Kluyveromyces lactis: one gene and its partners. The protein of the gene in region 5 binds, or shares a complex with, the protein of the main gene of each other region. Links are inferred from orthologs where the notes say so. Each region holds a gene or a part of one and is shown on either strand. Other genes may lie near its edges. The genes, in order: EAF3, RCO1, SDS3, UME6 and SIN3.

The links.
Region 1: the proteins of SIN3 (region 5) and EAF3 are in contact, whole or in part, in a cryo-EM structure (PDB 8KC7), measured with the Saccharomyces cerevisiae proteins. The link is inferred for Kluyveromyces lactis from reciprocal best matches to the Saccharomyces cerevisiae genes SIN3 and EAF3. Residues at the interface, in NP_014639.1 of Saccharomyces cerevisiae: Phe751, Lys756, Arg757, Leu758, Pro759, Trp782, His785, Val787, Trp788, Asp792; in NP_015348.1 of Saccharomyces cerevisiae: Asp242, Lys243, Pro379, Asn380, Arg381, Ser382, Asp383, Val388, Asn389, Thr390, Ser391, Ser392, Glu395.
Region 2: the proteins of SIN3 (region 5) and RCO1 are in contact, whole or in part, in a cryo-EM structure (PDB 8HXX), measured with the Saccharomyces cerevisiae proteins. The link is inferred for Kluyveromyces lactis from reciprocal best matches to the Saccharomyces cerevisiae genes SIN3 and RCO1. Residues at the interface, in NP_014639.1 of Saccharomyces cerevisiae: Ser661, Leu662, Glu665, Val666, Tyr675, Ile676, Leu681, Thr683, Glu684, Lys687, Ile688, Asn690, Leu691, Gln694, Asp695, Ile696, Leu697, Asp701, Lys705, Asp707, Phe708, Tyr709, Gly711, Ser712, Glu749, Gly769, Ser790, Glu791, Asp792, Ser793; in NP_013791.1 of Saccharomyces cerevisiae: Lys82, Leu84, Leu85, Ile93, Ile94, Lys95, Leu96, Glu98, Pro99, Ser100, Thr101, Ser103, Glu104, Lys107, Ser109, Val110, Thr111, Leu113, Pro114, Leu115, Asn116, Lys117, Gly118, Pro119, Ile123, Lys124, Glu126, Ser127, Leu128, Trp129.
Region 3: the proteins of SIN3 (region 5) and SDS3 are in contact, whole or in part, in a cryo-EM structure (PDB 8HPO), measured with the Saccharomyces cerevisiae proteins. The link is inferred for Kluyveromyces lactis from reciprocal best matches to the Saccharomyces cerevisiae genes SIN3 and SDS3. Residues at the interface, in NP_014639.1 of Saccharomyces cerevisiae: Ser661, Leu662, Asn663, Val666, Lys809, Glu813, Glu816, Tyr817, Tyr820, Ile821, Leu825, Arg826, Ile828, Gln829, Cys830, Glu832, Thr833, Asn836, His857, Lys869, Val870, Tyr871, Arg875, Glu878, Ile879, Ala882, His886, Val889, Thr890, Val893; in NP_012182.1 of Saccharomyces cerevisiae: Arg18, Ile21, Glu22, Val25, Leu75, Glu76, Val78, Arg79, Leu82, Phe83, Tyr86, Arg90, Ile93, Glu94, Ser289, Lys291, Thr292, Ala293, Pro294, Pro295, Leu296, Gln297, Ser298, Leu299, Pro301, Glu303, Val304, Thr305, Asp307, Ile308.
Region 4: the proteins of SIN3 (region 5) and UME6 are in contact, whole or in part, in a crystal structure (PDB 6XAW), measured with the Saccharomyces cerevisiae proteins. The link is inferred for Kluyveromyces lactis from reciprocal best matches to the Saccharomyces cerevisiae genes SIN3 and UME6. Residues at the interface, in NP_014639.1 of Saccharomyces cerevisiae: Glu407, Phe408, Ala411, Ile412, Tyr414, Val415, Asn416, Lys419, Tyr429, Leu433, Leu436, Gln437, Tyr439, Gln440, Ile446, Val449, Phe467, Lys469, Phe470, Leu471, Pro472, Asp473; in NP_010493.1 of Saccharomyces cerevisiae: Asp519, Leu520, Gly521, Thr522, Ala523, Ala524, Ala525, Val526, Leu527, Ser528, Met530, Arg531.

The regions. Positions count from the first base shown.
Region 1 is NC_006041.1:1,190,280-1,194,419, forward strand, and holds EAF3 (Eaf3p), read right to left. Parts: upstream 2,400-4,140; coding exon 1,323-2,399; downstream 1-1,322. Other genes in the region: SDD4 (Sdd4p), read right to left, coding at 1-248; KLLA0_E13487g (C2H2-type zinc finger protein), read right to left, coding at 336-1,028; casein kinase YCK3, read left to right, coding at 3,202-4,140. UniProt on the Saccharomyces cerevisiae protein: Component of the NuA4 histone acetyltransferase complex which is involved in transcriptional activation of selected genes principally by acetylation of nucleosomal histone H4 and H2A. The NuA4 complex is also involved in DNA repair.
Region 2 is NC_006042.1:2,400,189-2,405,315, forward strand, and holds RCO1 (Rco1p), read right to left. Parts: upstream 3,147-5,127; coding exon 1,275-3,146; downstream 1-1,274. Other genes in the region: sister chromatid cohesion factor PDS5, read left to right, coding at 1-1,106; SDD2 (Sdd2p), read left to right, coding at 3,428-3,829; protein transporter TIM10, read left to right, coding at 4,261-4,530; cytochrome c1 heme lyase CYT2, read right to left, coding at 4,828-5,127. UniProt on the Saccharomyces cerevisiae protein: Catalytic component of the RPD3C(S) histone deacetylase complex responsible for the deacetylation of lysine residues on the N-terminal part of the core histones (H2A, H2B, H3 and H4).
Region 3 is NC_006041.1:773,906-777,862, reverse strand, and holds SDS3 (Sds3p), read left to right. Parts: upstream 1-1,818; coding exon 1,819-2,778; downstream 2,779-3,957. Other genes in the region: DNA-binding transcription factor CRZ1, read right to left, coding at 1-858; KTR5 (putative mannosyltransferase), read left to right, coding at 3,213-3,957. UniProt on the Saccharomyces cerevisiae protein: Component of the RPD3C(L) histone deacetylase complex (HDAC) responsible for the deacetylation of lysine residues on the N-terminal part of the core histones (H2A, H2B, H3 and H4).
Region 4 is NC_006042.1:1,922,519-1,927,734, forward strand, and holds UME6 (DNA-binding transcriptional regulator UME6), read left to right. Parts: upstream 1-1,629; coding exon 1,630-3,993; downstream 3,994-5,216. Other genes in the region: KLLA0_F20658g (uncharacterized protein), read left to right, coding at 1-581; EBS1 (Ebs1p), read right to left, coding at 4,541-5,216. UniProt on the Saccharomyces cerevisiae protein: Component of the RPD3C(L) histone deacetylase complex (HDAC) responsible for the deacetylation of lysine residues on the N-terminal part of the core histones (H2A, H2B, H3 and H4).
Region 5 is NC_006039.1:546,752-550,286, reverse strand, and holds the end of SIN3 (transcriptional regulator SIN3), read right to left. Parts: coding exon 1,447-3,535; downstream 1-1,446. Other genes in the region: palmitoyltransferase PFA4, read left to right, coding at 242-1,375. UniProt on the Saccharomyces cerevisiae protein: Catalytic component of the RPD3 histone deacetylase complexes RPD3C(L) and RPD3C(S) responsible for the deacetylation of lysine residues on the N-terminal part of the core histones (H2A, H2B, H3 and H4).

The DNA of each region.
Region 1 (4,140 bases), on a different chromosome or scaffold from region 5:
GGAGATCTATTTGGAACCGAGTCGATGGATGAAGTAACAGAGCCTGCATTAGATGGGGTAGCGACACTTTCTCCCGATTGTTGAGGGATGATATCATTGTAAGACATCTGCTGCACCAAGGTTTGTAACGGATCTGTTGGTAAGAAATCCACCGAGAATAAATCATCCACGATATTTGTTAATCCTGGATTGGTATTGAGGCCTGTGTTAAGTTCAGGATCATAACTCTGTTGTTGAGGCGGAACCATGTGTGCTTTTTGGTCCAAGGGAATATTATCAATATGCTGCTGCTGACGTTGGTACTGTGGCTGAACGTGGGATTGTGACAGAGGCGGTCACAAAATTGATGGATCTTCCAACTTCGCAGTTGGTGGCACTGCATCAGATGGCTGATCCAACCTACTATTCTGTTGAGGCGTAGCATCCTGAGTTACACCACCGGCGAACAACCAGTTGAAGAAACTGTTCAAGTTACCGTTTGATGCTGGCCCCATTGCGTTAAACCCAGCATTCAGACTAGTATTACTACTACTTGTCGTACTACTGCTATTGGGCAAAGAGTTACTGTCATGGCCAACCGCATGTCCGCTACCCGAGCTCGCCTTATTGTGCTTTTTATCCCCCACATCAAGTACGATATGATCCACCTTTTTCTGCTGTTGTGGCTGCTGTCCAACACCAGCGACACTCGCCGTATCCGGCAGCTGCGGTGCCGCTGCTTTAGACCCACCCGCCGCTCTTTCTTTGCCAGATTCTCTTCTCACCTTCATCTGCATTCGAACACCGTTATTCGTGTGACGTCTCTGATGTCTCACCAACAAATCCTTCCGAACGAAAGTCCGGTTGCAAACTATCCCATCGTCAGGATAAACATATTCACACCGAAATATCTGCTTCGGCCAGTGGTTAAGCTTATGCCTCTGTAAATGCTCATACCGTGAGAAGGTCTTCTCACAATCTGGATGAGGACAAACGTATCTGCCGCCTACTTTTTCCTCCGACGCTTCCTTACTCTCAGAACCCATCATTTTCTACCACCGTCTGCTGTACAGCGTAAATATATCAATAGATACTGAAGTACACTGCTTACTCCGAGGCTCCGACAGCTGATGATTTAAGGATAACGAACAGTATATTTATGATGTCTTGTGATTGTTATGCTATGATGAGTACGGTCGAATCGAAACTGTTTTTCAGATGTTGATCGCTTATAATCACGGCCCGGAAATAATATTTCTGGGGTCCCCGAAAAAAGGGTTTTGGGGGATATATATATATATAACGGTGTATGTGGTGGGGTCTGGAGATGTGGTAGAGATATATTACATGCTTAGTGCGACCCCCTCGTATTGGGAGGACGTGTTTATGTAGGGATCTACTGGGAAGTTTTTCCTCGCGATGTTTATGGCGATCCATTCGAGTAAAATGTCGCACTGTTTCACTAGGATCTTGGCAGTTTGGTCATCGACGTTGCTTGATTCCATCATTTCGGGGAGTAAAGTGACTAGTCTTAGTAGATGGATAATTCCGTAAATTTCAGTGTACTGTTTCTCCGAGTGTGCTTTCAGTAGTTCTGCATATTGGATTCTTTCTAGACGGTACAAGAGTAATTTCCCCAGGGATAAGTTGAAGTAGAGTTTTATTCCCTGCAGAAATTCTGAGAGTTGAGCTTGTTCTACCACTGAGGAGGTCGAATTGCTAGTATCTGCATAGAACTGGGACAAGATATGTTCGATTGGCCGTTCGCTGGGTAGTTGTACTAGCTTTCTGTCTTTTGTGACGTTTTCCCAGTCGTCTACAAGCACAGAACGAAGCGAGATAGGGACTTTTATGTGTATCTTAGGGTGTGATCTTTTGTTTAGTACTGGGGTTGCCTTCTTACGGTCGGATTTGTCAGAGCTGGAAGCTGCTGCTGTTGTACCAGAAGATGAAGATGAGGCTGGATTAGAAGCGGAAGTCGAACTTGCCGAAGTATTAGTACCACTGCCACTATTTGAGGTACGGCTGGCCGCCTTTTTGCCCTTCTCAACCTTACTAGGCCTGCCAACAGGCCGTGATCCTGATTTCTTCTTCCCACCATTGTTCTTCAACTCTCGAGCCTTTTCCACCAACGACTTCTTCAATTCCAAATTCTCATCGTTATACGGTCTGATTCGGTCTAAACCAACCCATTCGTCCCAACTCGACTTCCAGCCCTGGTAATGCACAAAATAGCATTGGCCCTGTCTCATATGTTCCGGCGGACGATCAAATTCTACTTTTTCATCGTCAATACTCACGTCTTTGTAGTCCTTTGATGTAATAGTCTGATTCTTTTCATCGTAAACTCGTAATACTTTGGCTTCATAGAGCAAAGGTCCGTGATAACACAAACATTTCCCATCTAGAACAATTGCCATGATCAACAGCTACTGAAAGTTCCCCTGGGACAATTAAATTTTGGAGAAAGACCAGCGTAGCAGGTTCAAATACTATGTGTAACTTCTGTTTCGTGAAAGTGCTAGATGGTAGCTTTAACGTAAGATTTGGCATTTGAATTTTACGTGAAGAAACATGGGAAAACGGACAGTATAGAAACAGTAGATAACACTAGGTGAGCACTTGATAGTAATGGTATATAAACCGCAGCTACTTGGAAGGAATGCAGTACTTTCCAAGAAGAAGGAAGTGGGAAATTCTGATCACGTGACAACTCACGTGATATGATATGACATTGGAAGTGACCTGATATCTCCAAGTATTGCCTCAAAGCACTAGAGTCAAACTAGTATCAATTCATAAAGTCTTGGCCACCCTTCAACACCAATTCCAGCACCACAACGCCACTAATCACGTCGCATATCCACCTCTTACCATCACACAAGGTCTGCAAAGCTCTCCTAATAATGCTGTTCTGACCTTTAATGCCAAAGTAAAGAAAAAAAAAAGTTGATGAAACAAAAACAAATTTGAAAGAAACAGCCTTTTATCACAGTGACCAAAGAAGCAAACCACAACGGTTCTGACTGGCAAGGACGATCTTTTACACGCGGACAAACATCTGTATTGGTATTCTGAGTCGATGAGACGTTATTTGAGTGGTGGCTACTGAACTATTTTATTCGAAGCAAGAGAGAAAGGAAAGGTTTCCCACATTTCCTAGTATTGTATTTTTTTGTTTCCCGATAGGACTTGATAAAACCCAGAGTCGGTGCTTTTGCAATGTCTAAACGTTCGTCCCAGCATGTGGTAGGAATTCACTATGCTGTTGGTCCTAAGATTGGGGAAGGTTCGTTTGGAATAATCTTTGAAGGTGAAAACATTCTAAATGGTGGGTCGAAGAACCCTGTTGCTATAAAGTTTGAACCCAGACGGTCTGACTCACCACAGTTACGGGATGAGTTTCGCGCATATAGGATATTGAATGATGTGAGAGGAATTCCTCATGCGTATTATTTCAGTCAAGAGGGGATTCATAACATTTTGATCATCGATTTGTTGGGTCCGTCGTTAGAAGATTTATTTGAATGGTGTAGTCGAAAATTTTCCGTAAAGACGACAGCAATGTTGGCGAAACAGATGATTGATAGAGTACGTTCTATTCACGAGCATGATTTGATATATCGGGACATTAAGCCGGATAACTTTTTGATATCTGAGTTTCAACGGGAGTTATCGGATGGGTCAGTGGTTAAGTCGTGTGCCACAAGCAGTGGTGGTGACGCAAACCTAATATACGTGGTTGATTTCGGAATGGCAAAGCAGTTTAGGGACCCAAACACAAAACAACATATACCATATAGAGAGCGTAAATCTTTGAGCGGGACTGCGCGGTACATGTCGATAAACACCCATTTCGGTAGAGAGCAATCGAGAAGAGATGACTTGGAGTCCCTTGGCCACGTATTCTTCTATTTCTTACGTGGGTCCTTACCATGGCAAGGTTTGAAAGCTCTTAACAACAAGGCTAAGTATGAAAAGATTGGACTCACGAAACAGAGGTTAAAACCAACGGATTTATTGACACCGGAGATACCAAAACAGTTTGCTGAATATCTATCGTACTGTAGATCGTTAAGGTTCGATCAGGACCCAGATTATGATTATTTGATCTCCTTGATGACGCAAATCATGCAAGAAAATGGGTACGAAGAAGATGGT
Region 2 (5,127 bases), on a different chromosome or scaffold from region 5:
AAATATTAAAACTCTTTTTGTATTTCGTCTCCAATGGCGGAGAAGTTATCAATGAAGAGAATGAAAAGAGGTTCCCAACTCCGTTCGCGTATCAGCGTAGAATTCGGTGCCATGCAGGTTTACAGATTCTGAAACTAGCCAAAATTGCTAAATTCAACAAATGGATTGAATCAAAATATATATTCAAACTTATTAATTTAGTTGAAGATGAAAGCTTCCCTGTTAGACGCGAATTCGTGACCAAGCTGAAAAACTATATTTCAAACGAAGAAATAAGCATCAAATTCATTCCATTAGTGTTCTTTATGCCGTTTGAGCCAGATGCCAAATTTAAAACTGATACTAAAATATGGATTAATTTTACTTTTCAAAAGGAAACAGCACGAAGAGGAGCTATATTTGAAAGAAGCCTTCCAAGACTTCTCCACTGCATTGCGCACCATCCTGATATCGAAGAAAACCTTTATGTGGATGCTTCAGAAGACGAATTCATTACATCTTGCAGCACTGCAATTGATTATGTTCTTTTCTTTTTAGATACTGTTTTAAAGCCCGAAAGTATCAGCTTATTGTATTACCTAGCCGGTCGTATAAAACAGTACAAAGACTTGTTAGATGAGGCTCCAACATGCATTTACGTGATAAGTGAATTGGTTCAGATGATTTTGAATGAATTGAAACAAATAAAAAATTTGAATCTCACCGTGTACCCTGGTAAACTCAACCTACCGAGTGATCTTTACGTACCCTTCGAGAACATGGAATTAGCACAGGCAAATACATTCAAAACATTCATCAAAGATGATTACACTCAAGTTCTTGAGCAAAAGATAAAGCTAAAATGTAGTAAAATGGTGCATGGGTCATCGACGACAACTAAGCAGCAAAAACAGCAGAGAAAGTTGACAAGTGAGTATAAACAGCGCACCCCTTCAAAGAAAAGAAGACATTATAGCAGTGACAGCGGCGATGACTCAGATGGTGCACATGATAGAAGTATTTACCCCAGCCCACTGAAAAGTAATAGAGGTCCCCAAAGGAAAAGCACCCGTACTAAAACTGCCGTCGATTATAATGAAGATGATGAGAACGAAGAGGTAATGTAAGTTACGAAATTCCATCATTACCTAGCTATATATCTGTCATAATTTATCTAAGGAAATGTTTTTTATCATATGTAGTTGTTTCTATATATAAGTCTTCAACTCGCCGATGAAGATGAAACATAAAATAACAAACAGCTCCATTGAATACGGGCATGCGTGAACCTTTAACTATTGAGTAAGTTTGAAAAATTCAAGAACTTCTTTTTTCGGTTTCGACTCTAAAAGCGTTTTCAACTTTTGAAGAATCGTTAACTCGGACTCATCTATGGGTTGAATTTTTGCCTTTTCCTTCAGCAATTGTTGTTCCGATATTTTACAGAGTTCCTTAAAGTCCCATAATCTTTTGAGGGTACCGGACGTTTGGAAGTATAAGAGGTTGGATATATCATTCAATATCGGGGTTTGATTTTCTGCTGCAACTAATTTGTCTAAAATCGTAGAATGCTGACACAAGTCTTCAAACTGCTGTACACGTTTCGCCTGATAAACCTTATCTAAAAACTCTAGTGCGACATTCTGTTCTGTAAGTTTTGATAAAGTCCAGGAGTCCGCATCTATTGCTATTTCTGTATCTCCGTTGTTTCTACTTCCTATTGGAAGTACTATATATTTCTGTTTTCCCCTTGCTAAACGTCTTTTGTATGATTTTGGTAATGGGGCATGCAACGGGCATTTCCACTTCGATCCCAGGTTTTTCAAGGATGCTCTAGGCAGTGGAAGACAATCTAAGTGCCATGGTGTTGAACAGTAATCGCAAGTCATTATCAGTCGTTGGGAGTCCGGATGGTCCCATGTTCCCATCTTTGATTCTCCACAATTATAGCACACTAAAAGTTCTCCAGAATCCTGGTTGAAATGATACTCTGGCTGATAAGAATCCATCCGTGTGACAGACTGCCCGTACGCGGAATGAAAAATTTGTTTTTCATTGATATTTTCTTTAAAGTGTTCGTCACGATATTCTCCTTGCGACCCCGAGGAGACCGAATCGAACGTTGATTTGATAATAGACGGCAATTGAAATTGGAACGGATTTTTCCTTTGAAGATCAAATGTTAGAGTACCGAATAACTGATACCCGGGTTGCTTGAAATGGTCTTGTAAAAACCTTGTTTTCAACTTTTTTTCAGAGGACAGTCCGTATTTATTAGACTTGATCCATTGCTTGAATCGGCATTCATCACAAGACCAATCACCTTCTGGTAGATGGCTTGGATCCAAAGGTGGGTTACAGCAAGCAAAATGGAAAGATTTTGGACAAGTGTCACAGCATAAGAACACCCCAGGACCATGACAGTTGGAACAAAAATCGTCATTTTCCTTGTTATTATCCGGATCAATTTCTGGAATATGTAAATGAGAAGCTTTATCATTTTGTCCAAATAACTTGGTATCTTTATCCTTGGTAGATTTCAACCTTTTCGCCATTTTTAGTGCTATCGATTTACTGGGCGAATTTCGTATAGGATCCTGTAGCATAAAATCCGAGTCAGCCTCTTGTTTAATTCCTGAATTTTTGTTGTGTTTAGTGGGAGTGTTCGCTCCTATGCGTTCATGACTTTGTACGGTCAATTCATTTGATTTTTCAGTTTGTAGTTGTCCCTCATATTTAGCCTCCATGCTGCTCTTTAATGCCTGTAATATATTGGATTTCTTCTTCTTATTGTTACCATTTCTGTGTTTACCACTTCTATTATTGCTATCATCATTGTCGTTATTATTGATGTTATTGGTACTATTATTATTGTTACTGTTGTTGTTACTCGATCCCTTCGGCTTCTGAGATAATGGCGTCCCTGTCATAGCATTTATTGGATCATGCACTGGCGGCTCCTGAAACGTTATATTTCCATTACTATCCTTAAGAATGACTGGTCCAATAGGTTCTGTCGATGGTTCTTGGGACGGTGATGAAGATATTGAGGATGTACTTTTCGTTGGATAATCATCACTTGGAATAATCCGTCTCTTTTTCAGATTATAATCCACATTGGCAGTACCTGACCGTTTGGGCCTCGTTACCTCCATATTTTTTGTCATGAAGCCGGAAAGTAGATGTACTGGCACGTAATTTTTTTAGCCGGTACTTTCCCCTACTCGTTGTTTCGCGTTGAACCATAATTTAATTCAATTGTTAGATGCGTTCAATTAAATTTGTATCGCACTTTTTTATTTTTTTTCTGTATTCCAATATCACGAACCTTCGATAGTTGAAGTCGTATACACATACCAGCTATATCAATGATAATGGAATCAAAATGTATATAGTTACGGGAACAGGCTGAGGCGTCACCAGTCACATTAAAATAATAGAAGCAACCATGGACGACGAATTGAGAGCCATTAGAGAGGCCAGATTGAGGGAATTGAAGCAACAAAGTGGAGGAACATCAGAATCAGCAAACAACGGATCGAATGATGGTCAAACACAAGCGATATTGAATCAGATTTTGGATTCCAATGCACAAGAAAGATTGAGCAGGGTAGCGTTGGTGCGGCCAGAACGTGTAAAGGCAGTAGAAGCTTATTTACTACAAATGGTGCGGTCCGGTGCTATTAGAAACAAATTAACAGAGCAGGACATCGTTGGAATCCTCGAATCAGTCGGAAGAGATGAGCAAAAGCGCAATACTACACGTATTATATTCGATAGAAGAGAAAAAGGAACAGCATCATCTAGTGTGGATCAAGATGACGATGAAGACGATGATTTCTTTGACTAGTTATCTGTCTTCAATATATCAGGTTTTAACAGAGAAAGAAAGTAAGATATACATGCATATATAATTACAACGAATGAGAACTCAATCCTCATAAGTACCAAATAATTGCAAGAATCGGTAGTTCCAAAGGTTCAATGACTACTATAGGTCAATGCTCCCTCTGTCAAATCAATACATGTCCAAATCACGTGCATGTGACCGGGTAACGTATATTTCCTCATATTTCTGAAAATTTTCAGTATAGCAACTATTCGTCAGGAATTGCAGTTCACTAAAATTTAACTAATAGCAGTTAAATGCGTTGACAACTAGACTGTTGTTTGATCTGTAAATATTTATTGACGTAGTTTATCGTAGTGATTAGTCTTCTATTCATAGCCACAGGAATACCACTCCTACAATAACAACATATAAAAATCATCTTCTAAGAAATGTTCGGTCTAGGCGGTCAACCTCAATTATCTTCTCAACAAAAGCTATCAGCAGCTGAAGCTGAACTAGATTTGGTTACTGACATGTTCAACAAGTTGGTCGACAACTGTCACAAGAAATGTATTGAACAAATTTATAACGATGGTCAACTAAACAAGAACGAATCTACTTGTATCGACAGATGTGTTGCCAAGTACTTTGAAACTAACGTTAAGGTTGGTGAAAACATGCAACAGCTAGGCCAAGCTTTCTCTCCAGGTAAATTCTAAACCCGATGAGGGAAGCTTAAGCCGGGACGTTAGTGCATAATCTTTTTCGCAACTTTTCACGTTTTATCATGTACATATATGACAAATTTTGTATATACAAATATATTATATATATATATTAATTATCTATTTACAGAGTTTTAAAAATGAGGTAATGTCGGAGTACCAAACGATTAGGTTTGTGTATCTCGATCAAACCGATAAATATAGAGATATAAATGTATTTGCTAATACCGTGATGTGTTTTTGTCCATTATCTTCCCTTAGGATTGAAAATTTGGACGATCCCTTCTGTCTTTAAAATCCTAGCATTTTCATAACGCGTAATTTACAACCTTCAAAAGTATTCACTTTTGGTCTAACGTCCAAATATATTGGAGGAAGGTGGTTCTTTTCAGGTTCTGGATTCGAATAGAAGTCGATGACATAATCTATTTGTTTCCCGCAGCGATCGACGACCCAATCGTGCCTATCAAAAGGTTTGGTCATTCCAAGGATTGAGGATCTAAACCATGCTCTTGGGGTTAACTTCTTTGAATCGCCTTTGAAACTAGTCAATTTGATGCCACCACAGACATCTCCCCCTTGTCCGTCTTC
Region 3 (3,957 bases), on a different chromosome or scaffold from region 5:
GGGTACAGGTCTGGAAGAGTTCGACGCGCTTTCAAACTGTTCAATTTTGATTCTTGGTGGAGTCACATTGGTATTATCGACTCTTATCCGTGGCATCGGTAAATCTTCCACCTGAGTATTATGATTAGATTGACCCGCCAGGTTAGTCAATTCTTGCAACTGGCTGAATTGACTATCAACATAATCAGGCAAAGGATCATTAACGTTGCCTGTCAATTCTTGTAATTCCGATAAATTTGAAATGTACTGGTACTCTTTGGAAACATCGGATAAGTCTGAATGAACGCTAAGCAACTCATCCACATCGCTATCCAGAGCAAGGTACCCAGTACTTGGTGAGATTGCATCTGATGGGTAAATATATGGTGAGTTAGATGCCGACGACACAGTATCCAAATTGTCAGTCTCATTAGTGGACAAGGCAGGGAACAAAAAAGATGGATCTGTGTTTGGTATATTCAATTCATGTGACACATATTTATTAGCATTTCTACCGTTGTTACGGTTGACGCTAGGTGGCTGCTGAAGCTGGGCGTTACTTTTCACACTGCGATTAAGCATATCGTGAGCCAGGACACCATTTATACTAAGACTAGGGATTGAAGGTGCGTTTTTGTTATTATCACCAGTTTCTTTCGAAAAGGAATTCGCGACACTGAACCCAAACTCCTTAAAACCTGACAGTATATCACCACCGAAGTCAGACAGCTTGACACCACATTTCCTACTATTATTCATCGCATTGAAACCAGGCGCAACCTTCGACCCTCGAGAATTGTCAGAATCTTCCGGATTTAACAGTACATTCGCACCGATGTCACTGGGACTATCGACATTCAAATAATCGTCAATATCCATACTGTTCTCTCAGTCAAAAAAAAAAACAACAAAAACAACTCGGAATACAAGTCTCAAAGTCAGGTAATATTATATCCAAAGGGGAAACCAATATGTTTTTCGAAAACTCTGTTCTCTGTTCTTTCTTTCCTATGAACTGGAAAGACTGAAAAGAAGAGCTTTATAAAATCGACACACTTATAACGTCGAAATTTAAAGTATTAGAATATTAGGGGTAGTTCAAAGCACCGCAAAATTCAGCGATTTATCTGTACTAATAACACACAACACTGATGTGTATCACAGGCTGCGTACCACTGTTTTATCTCTGAATTAGTCTCACTATTTCACTTCTATTCACCTAACAAAAAAAAAATCACATCGTCATTATATTATAACTTAACTTACTTTTTTTTTTTTTGGGAATTTTCCCTTTTCTTTACCAAAATTGCCAAAAGTTCAAAGCCTTTAAAAACTTTCAACACACTTAAAGCCTGCACTTATACCGGCCAGCTTTAAGCTTTTCTTATCTGAAGCTGCGACTTTTCTGCGGGGAAATGAGATGGAAAACGGAACATAAAAAATTTAAAAAAGAAAATGGTGATACTTGCAATGAATAAATCAGTGTTATGGGAGCATTGAGGTTCGAACGGCAGAAGCATGGCATTTTCTTGTTTGTCTCATTTGATTATTATTATTTTTTTTTTTTTTTTTTTAAATCAGAGCAGCTTAAGCAGTTGTACTTTGTACATACTTTATACATAATTTGTACATAATTTGTACCCAGCTCATACGTTGCACGATACATGTAACGAGCAGCACATTAACTCGTTGTGTTAACGTTTTCAATTGTAATTTTTTATTCTGTGTTAGTAATTTCACAGGATAATTGGTAAGAAACGATACCGGAGAGTTTTTCTGGTTTCACTTTAACAATTATATCAGCTTTTGCAGTAAATACAGCTTCTCCCCCCGAGGAACATGGATGAAGTACAATATTCTATGATGAGCAGCGGTGTGAAGAAAGGTCAAGGAGCGAAACAGAATGGGGGTGCTATTCCCGCAGGTGTTGGGCAGGATTTGAGTAGGAAGGATAAGAAGCGATTACAGTTTGAAGGGAAAGTGGGAAAGATAAGAACGTCGTTTGCAAAGGATAAAGATGTGCATTATAGGGATAGGTTGACTCTGTTACAGACAGATTTAACGACGCTGCATCAGGGGAATAACCCTGAATTTCTGAGGAAATTGAGGGATCTTGAAGAAGATAGGGATTTGGAATTAGTTAGGCTCAGGCTTTTCGAAGAGTACCGGATTTACAGGTCCAAAGTAGAGTTCCAAGAAGATATTGAAAAAGCCAAGCAAGAACATGAAAGGATGATCAAATTGTGCAAAGAGATGTTGTATGAATCCCTACAGAAAACTATCAAGAAATTGCAAGAGGAACGGCTACTTCTGGATGTAGCAAACACACAGTCTTATTCGATGGATTATTCTCGAGGGAAATTCCAGAAGCAGACTAGAAGCTCAACTCAAAATTCAGCCAATTTTTCGGCTTGGGATTCGTCACCGAACGATGTCAGCCAAACAGAAAGTGGCAATGAGACTGGTAATACTACCGATAGGAGGTCATTGCGTAGGCGTGCTGCTACTAATCAGAATAGAGCTCAAACTCCTGCAAACATTACACCTGCAAACGGAAGCGGGAAATCAAGCAATACTAATAGCGATGCAGAGTCGATGCAATATCTGAGCGATTCATCAGAATTACAGGCTTTATTGTTCGGAAAGGAAAAGGAAAAGGAAAAGAAGATGGGTCGAGGTCACCAAAGACTTTCGACAAAAAGCGCTCCTATTCTTCAATCTTTAACTCCGGATGAGGTTACTGATGATATATCTTTGATAAGAAAGCTAACGGGCCAAGTACCAGCCCCATTCAAATGAATATCAATAGTTGGATTTATCTTGTAAATCTGGTCTGGGGTACAAGTGAAGAAACTAAAATGTTACCAGTTTTTTTTTTCTGTCATCCAATATTTCCCAAACTGCTTAGGTCCCAAATACTATCCGTTATTGTCAGTCTTATACCTTGTATTTTTAGTGTATCTCATGTGTAATACTACTACTTTATAATACTGCGTATTTTTTAATGTATGCACAAAAAAGTGAACAGAATCTGAATTTTGATATTTCAGTTATCTATTGACGATGATTTATGCGCAATACGCGATCCATTTATAAACATAAACTCAACAGTCGATTAAAGTACCAAGAATATTAGTATAAAACCTCATTCTTTCATCTTCAACTATTGGGACGTACACATTCATCTTTTCCACTTTTTTTTGCATGATTACTGATAGTTTCCATCTTATCTCATGAGGAATAGAACCAGAAAGCTACTGATAGTGATAACAATTGCACTTCTAATTTGTGTTGGTGTACACCATATTGTGCGAACGGAAGAAGCTGCAATATGGGAAGATGCTGTAGTCTACTCCTCAGCGGATCGCGCCTCTAAGAAGGAACATCCCTTCTTTGAAGGGTGTGTGGATACTGCAGAATATCTAAATCACAAAAAATATGAACGACAGAATGCCACATTTGTGATGTTAACAAGAAACGAGGAGCTGGATGGGGTAATTCACACTATGAGATCTGTGGAAAGAAGATTCAATCAATGGTTCCAATATCCGTACGTTTTTATGAACAACGAACCATTCACTGATGAATTTCAAGAAAGAGTCCGATCATTAACAACTGCCAACATAACGTTTGCCCTTGTAGATGAGTCCTCATGGAATTTCCCTAAGGAGAACACTCCACTATTTCAGCATTACGTTGAATCCCAGGGTGATCGTGGAATTATGTATGGGAATATGGTTTCATACCATAAGATGTGCAGATTTTATTCCGGACTCTTCTATAAACACCCTGCAGTTAGGCAATACGAGTGGTACTGGCGTATTGAACCAGATGTGGAATTCTTCTGTGATCTAACTTATGATCCATTCTTTGAAATGAAGAAGGCAGGAAAGAAATACGGTTTCACAATTTTTATCAAAGAAATATATTGGACTGTGCCGAACTTATTTAGAGCAACCAGAAGTTTCATCAAGCAAA
Region 4 (5,216 bases), on a different chromosome or scaffold from region 5:
GTGTCATCATGGCAGCATGTTGTATGGCATGTTTCGTTACCGTGCTCTATGGTACCGGTGATGGTAACTTGGGTTCTGACTGTAACGATGCACTTGGTGAAACGTGTCACTTGGTTTTCAGAGGCCGTGCTGCAGCATTTGCAACAATGACTTGGTGTGCATTGATTTTAGCCTGGGAAGTTGTCGACATGAGAAGATCATTCTTCATGATGAACCCTGAAAGTGAAACACCATACACTCAAGTGTTCAAGGACATCTGGAGCAATCAATTCTTGTTTTGGTCCATTGTTGGTGGGTTCTGTTCCGTGTTCCCAGTGGTTTATATCCCAGTAATCAACGACAAAGTGTTCTTACATTACAATATCAGTTACGAATGGGGATTCGCAATCGGATTTAGTTTCGCATTCTGGGCAGGCGTTGAATTATACAAATATGGTAAGAGACATTACTTCGGCATCAAGGACAGAGTCGACAATCCAGAAAATGATTTAGAAAAGAGAGCAGTGCACGATCCGTTCGAACAATACACTACTTCCTTCTCCAGAATGAATACTTTTCACAACGACGAGAAGACTATCTGAAAGTTGAAAAGATGCAGGAATAAGCGGTGCTTTTTAATTATTTTTAATCTACAACTTATCTGGAACAAATGTATATTAGCAAATCCATATGATAAGTATCATCAATAATTTAATTTTTATAAATACCATACTACATTAACAAAAGTAGTTTATCTCACTTTAGATCGATTTTACTCTAGTTTCCCGTCAAAACTCTTTATATTTGGCCTGAATCGATTAAGACTTTGGGCCCAAAAGTTACTAAGCCGGAACAACTGATTATGACCGGGTAATACATGGTCTTTACTCTTTTCAAATCTTTTTCTCCCTTTCCAGCGTGTAAAATAGTTTCAAGACAATTTTCGTCAAGCGATACGCCCAATGGATAAGAAAAGTCAAAAACAGTCAAAAATTATTCCCACGGGTAATTAAAGAAACCCACCATCTTAGCGGGCTACATATGTAATCAGCTACTGTATAACAGCAGTGCACCTTACAAACTTCAGATATCCTACTAAAAACAAAAAACCGAGAAGCAAAGCAAGGTCAATGAGCTTGCTTAGATGGCTAGTACCATTGCCGTTCCCTTTTTTCTTCCCTTTTCTCCCTTCTGATTCGTTTTCTGCGCTTGTTTTCCTGTAGTTTTTCGCTCAAAAAAAGGCAAAAAAACGCCTAATTGAATCTCGTTCGAAAATCACATCCAAGGCGTTGTTTATTTATTTATATAAATCGAATTTTACAAATGTTTGATTTCTCTTACTTGTTTTAGTTTATTGTAATATACTCTACTTTATTTTTTTATTCTTTATGAATGCTTACATTCATTGAAACCGCGATCCTCTATGAATTGACAGGCTTCTGGTTCAATCTCTCTTACTAATTACGAACCCGCTCATTCCGTAGCTCCTGGCTTAATACCTGATTGTGTTTAGTTTCAAGAGTCTTATAAGGGGGTGAGGAGAGAATCGGTTTTTTTTTAACTCAAGAGTAACACAAACTCTTGGCGCTAAGCGCTGGCCTGAAACTTAGACTGAAGTTTTCTTCAAATATAAAAGAACCTTCGGAATAGATGGTTCGTCAGAAAAGTCAAATTGAGCGGCGTGCTGTGAACTCTGTTCGTTTATCCTCCTCTTCTCCGTTATCTTCCAAAATGCATGTGCCGGAGAAAAGTACCCCGCCAAGTTACCCTGACGAACATTCAAAAACAAACGCCGCCCAAGTGGAGCTAACCGCCCAGCGGGAAGTGACCAAAATTGATGAAAAACAAGAAAACGAAAAACAACAACGAGTGAAAACAGGTGAAAAACAAACGCTGCTGCGACATACACCAAGGCTCAACCCCTTGATACATTTAGCGATGTCTCCTACTGCTGCTCCGAATAATACGCCTGTGGAGGAAAACGATCTACAACAGGGTGTTATCTCTCCTTCACGTGGAGAGCCTTCCGGGATTCCAGGGACAAAGCCTCAAACCGAGGTTTTGCCGCCACTTCCTCGTTACGGAGAGACTAAGCAAGAGGAAAAGGAGGTTGCCGTGAAATTTGAGAAAAAAACGGGTACCCAAGACTTTGATCACGTGGTTTCGGCTGATAAACAACATGTTCCAAAAATAAATACGCGTACACCATCTATCTGTATATCCAGTAGCAATACGCTGCCGAACACTGGGAAAGGGAGTAGCACCTTATATCAAGACTCGCGCACTCCCGTGTATTTGTTCAACGATAGGATAGACTCTGGTCAAGTGAGTGAAACAGAAACACTTCACGATTCAAGAAAGGGCGAGGAAATTCAAGCTGATACTGGTAGTCATCAAAATGAACGCATGCTGCGACAAAGCGGACATAGACTCGAAGGCAAAAAGGGCAATGGCAGAAACATTGGTAATCCTGGAACTGTTTCACATGACGGTGCGAGCGGTATTGCTGCGCCTTCATCTTCGCCGATCCTTGAGACCTCGAGCGCTTCCCGTGATAGAGATCTGCATGCCACAGGAAGCGCCATGACTCCAAAAAGACTACATTTTGATTGTTCCACAGAGAAAATAGATCCGGGTGCAGGCATCTCATCAATTTCAGCTCAAAAGATCAATATTACTTCATTACTAAACTCGAGATCGACAGCAGAATCAATCTCGCCCCCTCCATCTACGGCAGGAAATGAATACACTATTCATTTCCCATCCTCAGCAGCGTCAAATCCTCCTCACTCCACAGGATCCTTCCTACATCCAAAATATCAAAATCAAAACCCGCAGGTCTCATCTACCATGAATAGAATTGTTTCTCCAACCTATATGTTCGAAACCGATCAGGTTCATGGTCCTTTCAGTAATTCTAGTAGTGGCAGTAATAGTAGTGGCAGTAATAACGGTAGCACAGCAAACAGTAATAACAATAATACACATATTACCTACCAACCGAAGTATTTCAACACAAAATTCGATGAGTTAAGGAATAGAGTGTTATTAGGATCCTCAAACGCTTTTCCGAAAGTAGAGTCGGCTAACAAGTATCCATATAATAGCACAATGGTCAACCCAACTTTGAATGATCAAGATTCCAACGTGGATGCGGAAGCTGCCGCAATCATTTCTCAGATGAGGTCTTCCCCATTACCCCCATTTAACGAACAGTTCGGCTCTGGCAATCATGATAGCCGACCGAATTCGTCATTATCAAACCAATCTCTCCAAAATAATGCCTTTAATCCGTTCTCCAAAAGACTTTTACCTAAGCCAGTGCTTCGGGTTAACCAACGACCATTGACTGGCAACCAGGATGAACTCGTTATAATGGAAGAAGAGGATGATGATGATGACGGGTATGGCGATGGTGATTACGAAATGACCGAAGGGGGATCAAAGGCACCAGAAACTGTTGCATGGAATAAGAATGGAAAAAGAAGATTGTCCAGAAGAAGATCAGGCCCACCACATTATCAATCTCAATTGACAGGAATTAAAAATGAGATTGGAGACCATCCAGATACTACGGCATACCCCGCTGCGGATATCTCGGAAAATGGTATGCATATAAAAAGATCAAGGTCTTCATCATTATCTACTGAACACACTGGATTATTGTCACCGAATTCCAAACATGCCAAACAACTGAAGTTTAAAGAATCTAATTACAATAATGATGTTTCTAACGAGCAAATGGTCAAATCAAGTGATCAAATAAAGAAAAGAAATGCTACGGGGGCACGGTCAAGAACTGGCTGCTGGATCTGTAGATTGCGTAAGAAGAAATGTACAGAAGAGAAACCGCAATGCCAGAACTGCGTGAGGTTGCACCTCGAATGCTTTTACGACATAGTAAAACCCGATTTTATTTCAGATCCTGCTAAAAAGGCAGCAAAACTCGAAGAAATTAAAAAGAAAACAAAAGAAGCTAAGAGACAAGCAATGAAAAAGAAGACTTGGTTATAATCAAAGAGACAATCATCTCTAAATTCTTCTCAGACACACATCTGTATCATCAGGTGTTCTCAGTTTTTTTACAATAATGGACAACCCCTCAAAACTCTATAGATACCATTTTTGACTGAACTTTTATGATTATGTTCACCTCCCAATATATAATATACTCAGATATATTTGCTGTAATAAATGTGTAGACTGACTTTAATATACAATGTATGAATTGTACGTATTTTAAGCACAAAGCTTAGGGAATAGTATGGAAATGATTTCAAAAGACAACGTAGTTCAATATTTAAACTTTATGCTGCTTTCAAAGGAGGATTGAGATGATATGAGGATCAACAAAATAAAATAAGATAAAATAAAAGAACATACAAAATATAGACACATACATTACAACCAAAATTTGGAATAATTAAGATAAAATTTAAAAAAGTGTCGTTTCAGTAACTAAGGAATAGAGAAAAACAAGGCGTTAAAAATAATTATATGTGAATCACTTCAGTACATGAAAGGTAAACACATTTTTCAATCCGAGAACTATTATTTTGCGCTATGAATAAAAGAAAAAGTTGAATTGATCATCAGCCTTTTCAGCCATTGAAGGCAAACGATCCCCTGCAATGGAGACATTGTTATTGGGAAAGAATTGAGAGTCCCTTCTGATATTAGTTGAATTCTGAGGATGGTTTTCTTGATTTTGCAAGTTGTCAAATTGTGGTGAGAACGAAGTGAATGGATTATGGAATTGGGCATATTGGGAGCCCATATATGTTCTCTGTTGAGCTTGTTCGTACAGACCAGCGGAGTTGTTCGCCTGGGATGACATAACAACACTGTCCCTGGCAAATATACTTATTTGAGAATCATGCGAAGCGTTCTGTAAATAGTTGAAAGTGGACAGATTCTGGACATTAAGTTTAGGAGCTTCATTAAGGCCGTTACTATTTTCTCTGGAATCAGTAGAACTGCCATTGGTGTTAGTGGAAGACAGTGGTATCGAAGAGGACGAACTTTGAACATGGATAGATGAAAAAGGAGATGAAACAGAGCCATTGCTAGTATTTGTGCTAGCACTGTTGTTGCCGTGATTTGACATCTCGGTCCTATTGTACAAACTGAAAGATTTTTCATTCTCACTTCTTTCAACTGTGGTTGAGACGGAAAATGATGGCGTGACATTAAAACTCAGTGGCGGTTGGGGAGCAGAAGAACCACTGTAATTCCAT
Region 5 (3,535 bases):
TCAATGGGATGTATATCTCTTACAGGCAGATACGTTATCTACATAAACGACTGCTATTAAAGGGTTTGAGAATCAAGTTTTAATTCTGGTATCAGTCTCGTCTAGCCTTATCTTTACCGCAATCCTCAACCCCAATAAGAAAATATTATTGAAACATCTTCTGCGAACCAGGATTGTTACCAAACACTCAACCGCTGGGATCATTTTTGTTCAAAAAGAGCATCATAATCCAGTGACCGATATGGCTATAAAATTGAAAAATCGGTGGCTGGGCGTTGCAATACCTGCATTTCTTGTTGCATTGATTGGGTATGGATCTCATTACTTCATTCTTTCGAACTTTCTTTCATGGAATGAGCAAATATTCTATCAAACATGTCAAACTATGATTTGGGTTTCATACTATTTGGCCATTTATACCAACCCAGGTATACCGCCAAAGGATTTTAAGCCGTCTGCGGAAGAATGGCATAATTACTGTAAAAAGTGTCGGGTTTACAAGCCTGAAAGGGCCCATCATTGTAAAACCTGTAATCAATGCGTATTAGCAATGGACCACCATTGTCCTTGGACGCTCAATTGTGTTGGACACAGCAACTTTCCCCATTTTATGCGCTTCTTATTCTGGGTCATTTTCTCTACTGCTTACCTATTATTTCTCCTTATTGGAAGAATCTATCTACTTTGGTCCATAAGGCATACGGCTTTTCATCATAGGTCTACATCAGAGATCATTTTTATCTGCATTATGACTCCTATGGATGCATTTGTATTGCTCACAGTTTCTTCACTACTAGGAAGGTGTATTTATAACCAATGTTTGCATGGTATGACACAAATTGAATCCTGGGAGATGGACAGAATTCAAAGTTTACATTACAAGAACAGGCTTTTGGCTCAAGTTATAGACCGTTTGGTGGAGCGAAGGCCCGAAATACTTCCCGCCAAGCAGCACGAAATTAATAAATTACTCTCAAAAAGATATGTGAATCAAGAAGATTTCACCAACTTCCCATATGACGTCAACCCATGGACCAATATTAACAATGCAATGGGTCCTTGGTATCTTTGGTTGTGGCCGTGGTCCAAGCCGCCAACTATAGGGACATCATTCGCCAAGAACGAACTTTTTTTCTATGATCCAAATTCATCTATAGAGGATATGCTTATGTCTTTACCTTGGCCTCCTGATGGTTTGACACATCATTCCCGGGCTTTAGGATCAGGATCATCAATCGAGACGATAGTTTCTGGAGGTGAACAAGTAATAAGAGATAAATCCGTAGATCTCAGGGATAGGTTAGGGCGGAATTCCTGGTATAACGATTGGGGAGAAGACCTATCCGATTTCGGAGTAGATACTGAACTTGAATAGGGTAATATTACTACTATATAACTGCATTATATAACATGAATTTGTTTATTTTACAATCGTGTATGCAAAAACTACACAGCTTTTTCAGGAACATCTTCCTTAGAGATTGGTTCGTTTGGTTCTTCAATTTTTGCAGTAATTGTCAGTGTTTGGTCAATTTCTAATTTACCTTGTTCCTTCAAAATTTTCATTTTGGACTCTGCGCGTCCAATTATCTCAGTGCTCAAGTTTTTCTTCCAACCCTTAGAACTATTCAAGAATTTATCCATTTTTGATGCCGGTTGAGTGCTTTGGGAGCTTGGGAACTTATTAACAGATTTTCTGGTGAACACATCAGTTGAACCACATTCGAAAGTTAGTTCATAAGTTTCTGGGTGTATGTTAACTTTGAGCTTGGATTGAGAGACCCCTTCTGGTGAGAACTTGTCATTCTGTTCCTCATCATCAAGATATTCCGCTTCTTTTTCGATGATTTTCCCAAGGAAGGGTTGGCTGATATCTTCCTGTGTTATCCCTTCGGTAGGATGAGACAATGAATAAGACGTGACATAGTAATCCCATTTTTCTTTCATGTTTTGAGGCTCTTTTAATGTCAAATCGTCCACGGCAACGTATTGGATTGATACATGTGAGCTGTCGGTATTGTATTCAATACGGAACATATTCTCAGATTCTCCCATGGTGTTCCTGACCTTCAATCTATACAAAATCTGATCCTTTGCAGTGGTATCCCTTTTTAGTCTGTCTTGTTCAAACAAAACCATCACCATGGCATTTTTTGGATCCGTTATGATACTATGGGCATGTTTCACTAGTGACTGGACGACTTTGTCGATGGTGTAGATTTTGAACGCCTTATTCTTGTACGCTTGACGTAAACTCTCTTCGAACCATTGATGATCTAAATCACCAGTTATCAATCTTTTCGAAAGTCTTAACAACTCACCATAAGCTTTAGTGTCTTTGAAAGCTAGACCCATGTCAGCCAATTGTGTCGAAATTAGATTTAAATCGCTGGCAAATTGTACAATTTTCCTGTTTTTAATCTCATCAGTAACCTCAGCATCTATTTTCTTGACTTCTAATAACCGTTCATAGAGAGTGTTCAAGTGACGGAAGAAAACATAAATGGTTGTGTTAGTGAAGAGATTGAAAATGTGTCGATCGGATACTATCCCACTATTATTGGCTTCATCAATAAGGCTTCCGAGTAACCAAGGTTTGGCTGCCTCTTTGGCCAAGAGTTCAGTCTCATCTTCTTCATTCGATTTTACGGAAGAGCTATTTTGATTCTCTTCGGAATTCGAGGTTTTTGCATTCTTCGTCCTACGCAAAATGTCTTTCATCAGATAAGAGTCTTCATCAGATAATGTTCTCTTATTAGATTTTTCTGAATCGCTTTTATTAGAATCTTCTTCTCCATTTTCTTGGTCAGTTATTGAAGAGCGTTCAGATACAGCTTCATTAACATCTTTGATTGGATACGAAAAGAATAGAGATATGAACGCCTTGAAAAAATGATCCAATTTGATCTTATCCGAATTGGAATAGGATGCATTAGTCTTAACGAACGTAAACACCAAATCCAAAATATCATACAAAACTTCACGGTCATTTATCTCAAAATCTAACTGACTCTTTGGTTTAGGTGTCAATGGATGTATTCTTTTATTGGTTTGATCAACCTTTATGCTGCTAATTTCAGATAGTAGTTGTTTGGTAGTCAACAATTTCTTGTCGGCTTGTTTAAAGGTCAACCCTAAATGGTCCAACGATTTATAGTAAACCTTTTGCTCAAGTTCTCTCCAGACCTTATTCCACTCTCTCTGAGCTCTTCTCCATTCTTCATCCTTTTGCTTTAATCTTTTCAAAACAATGGGCACTGTGACAGCTGGGTGCTCGTGTAAGGCGTCAATAATCTCAAAACCTCTGTCTTTATCGTATACTTTTCTAACGACTTTCTTATAAATTGTTAGGGAAGTATGACCCAATCCAGGAGGAAGCTTGAAATTGTTCTTTTCCTCGTTGGTCATGTTTGCAATTTTATTAGCAATCGTTTCCAAGGTTTGAATTGTTCTTAAATTGGACTCGATGTAGAAATCATATTCGTGCCTTTCTTCTTCTACCTTGAAGAGTGTGTCCTCATATTGATTCTTCCGA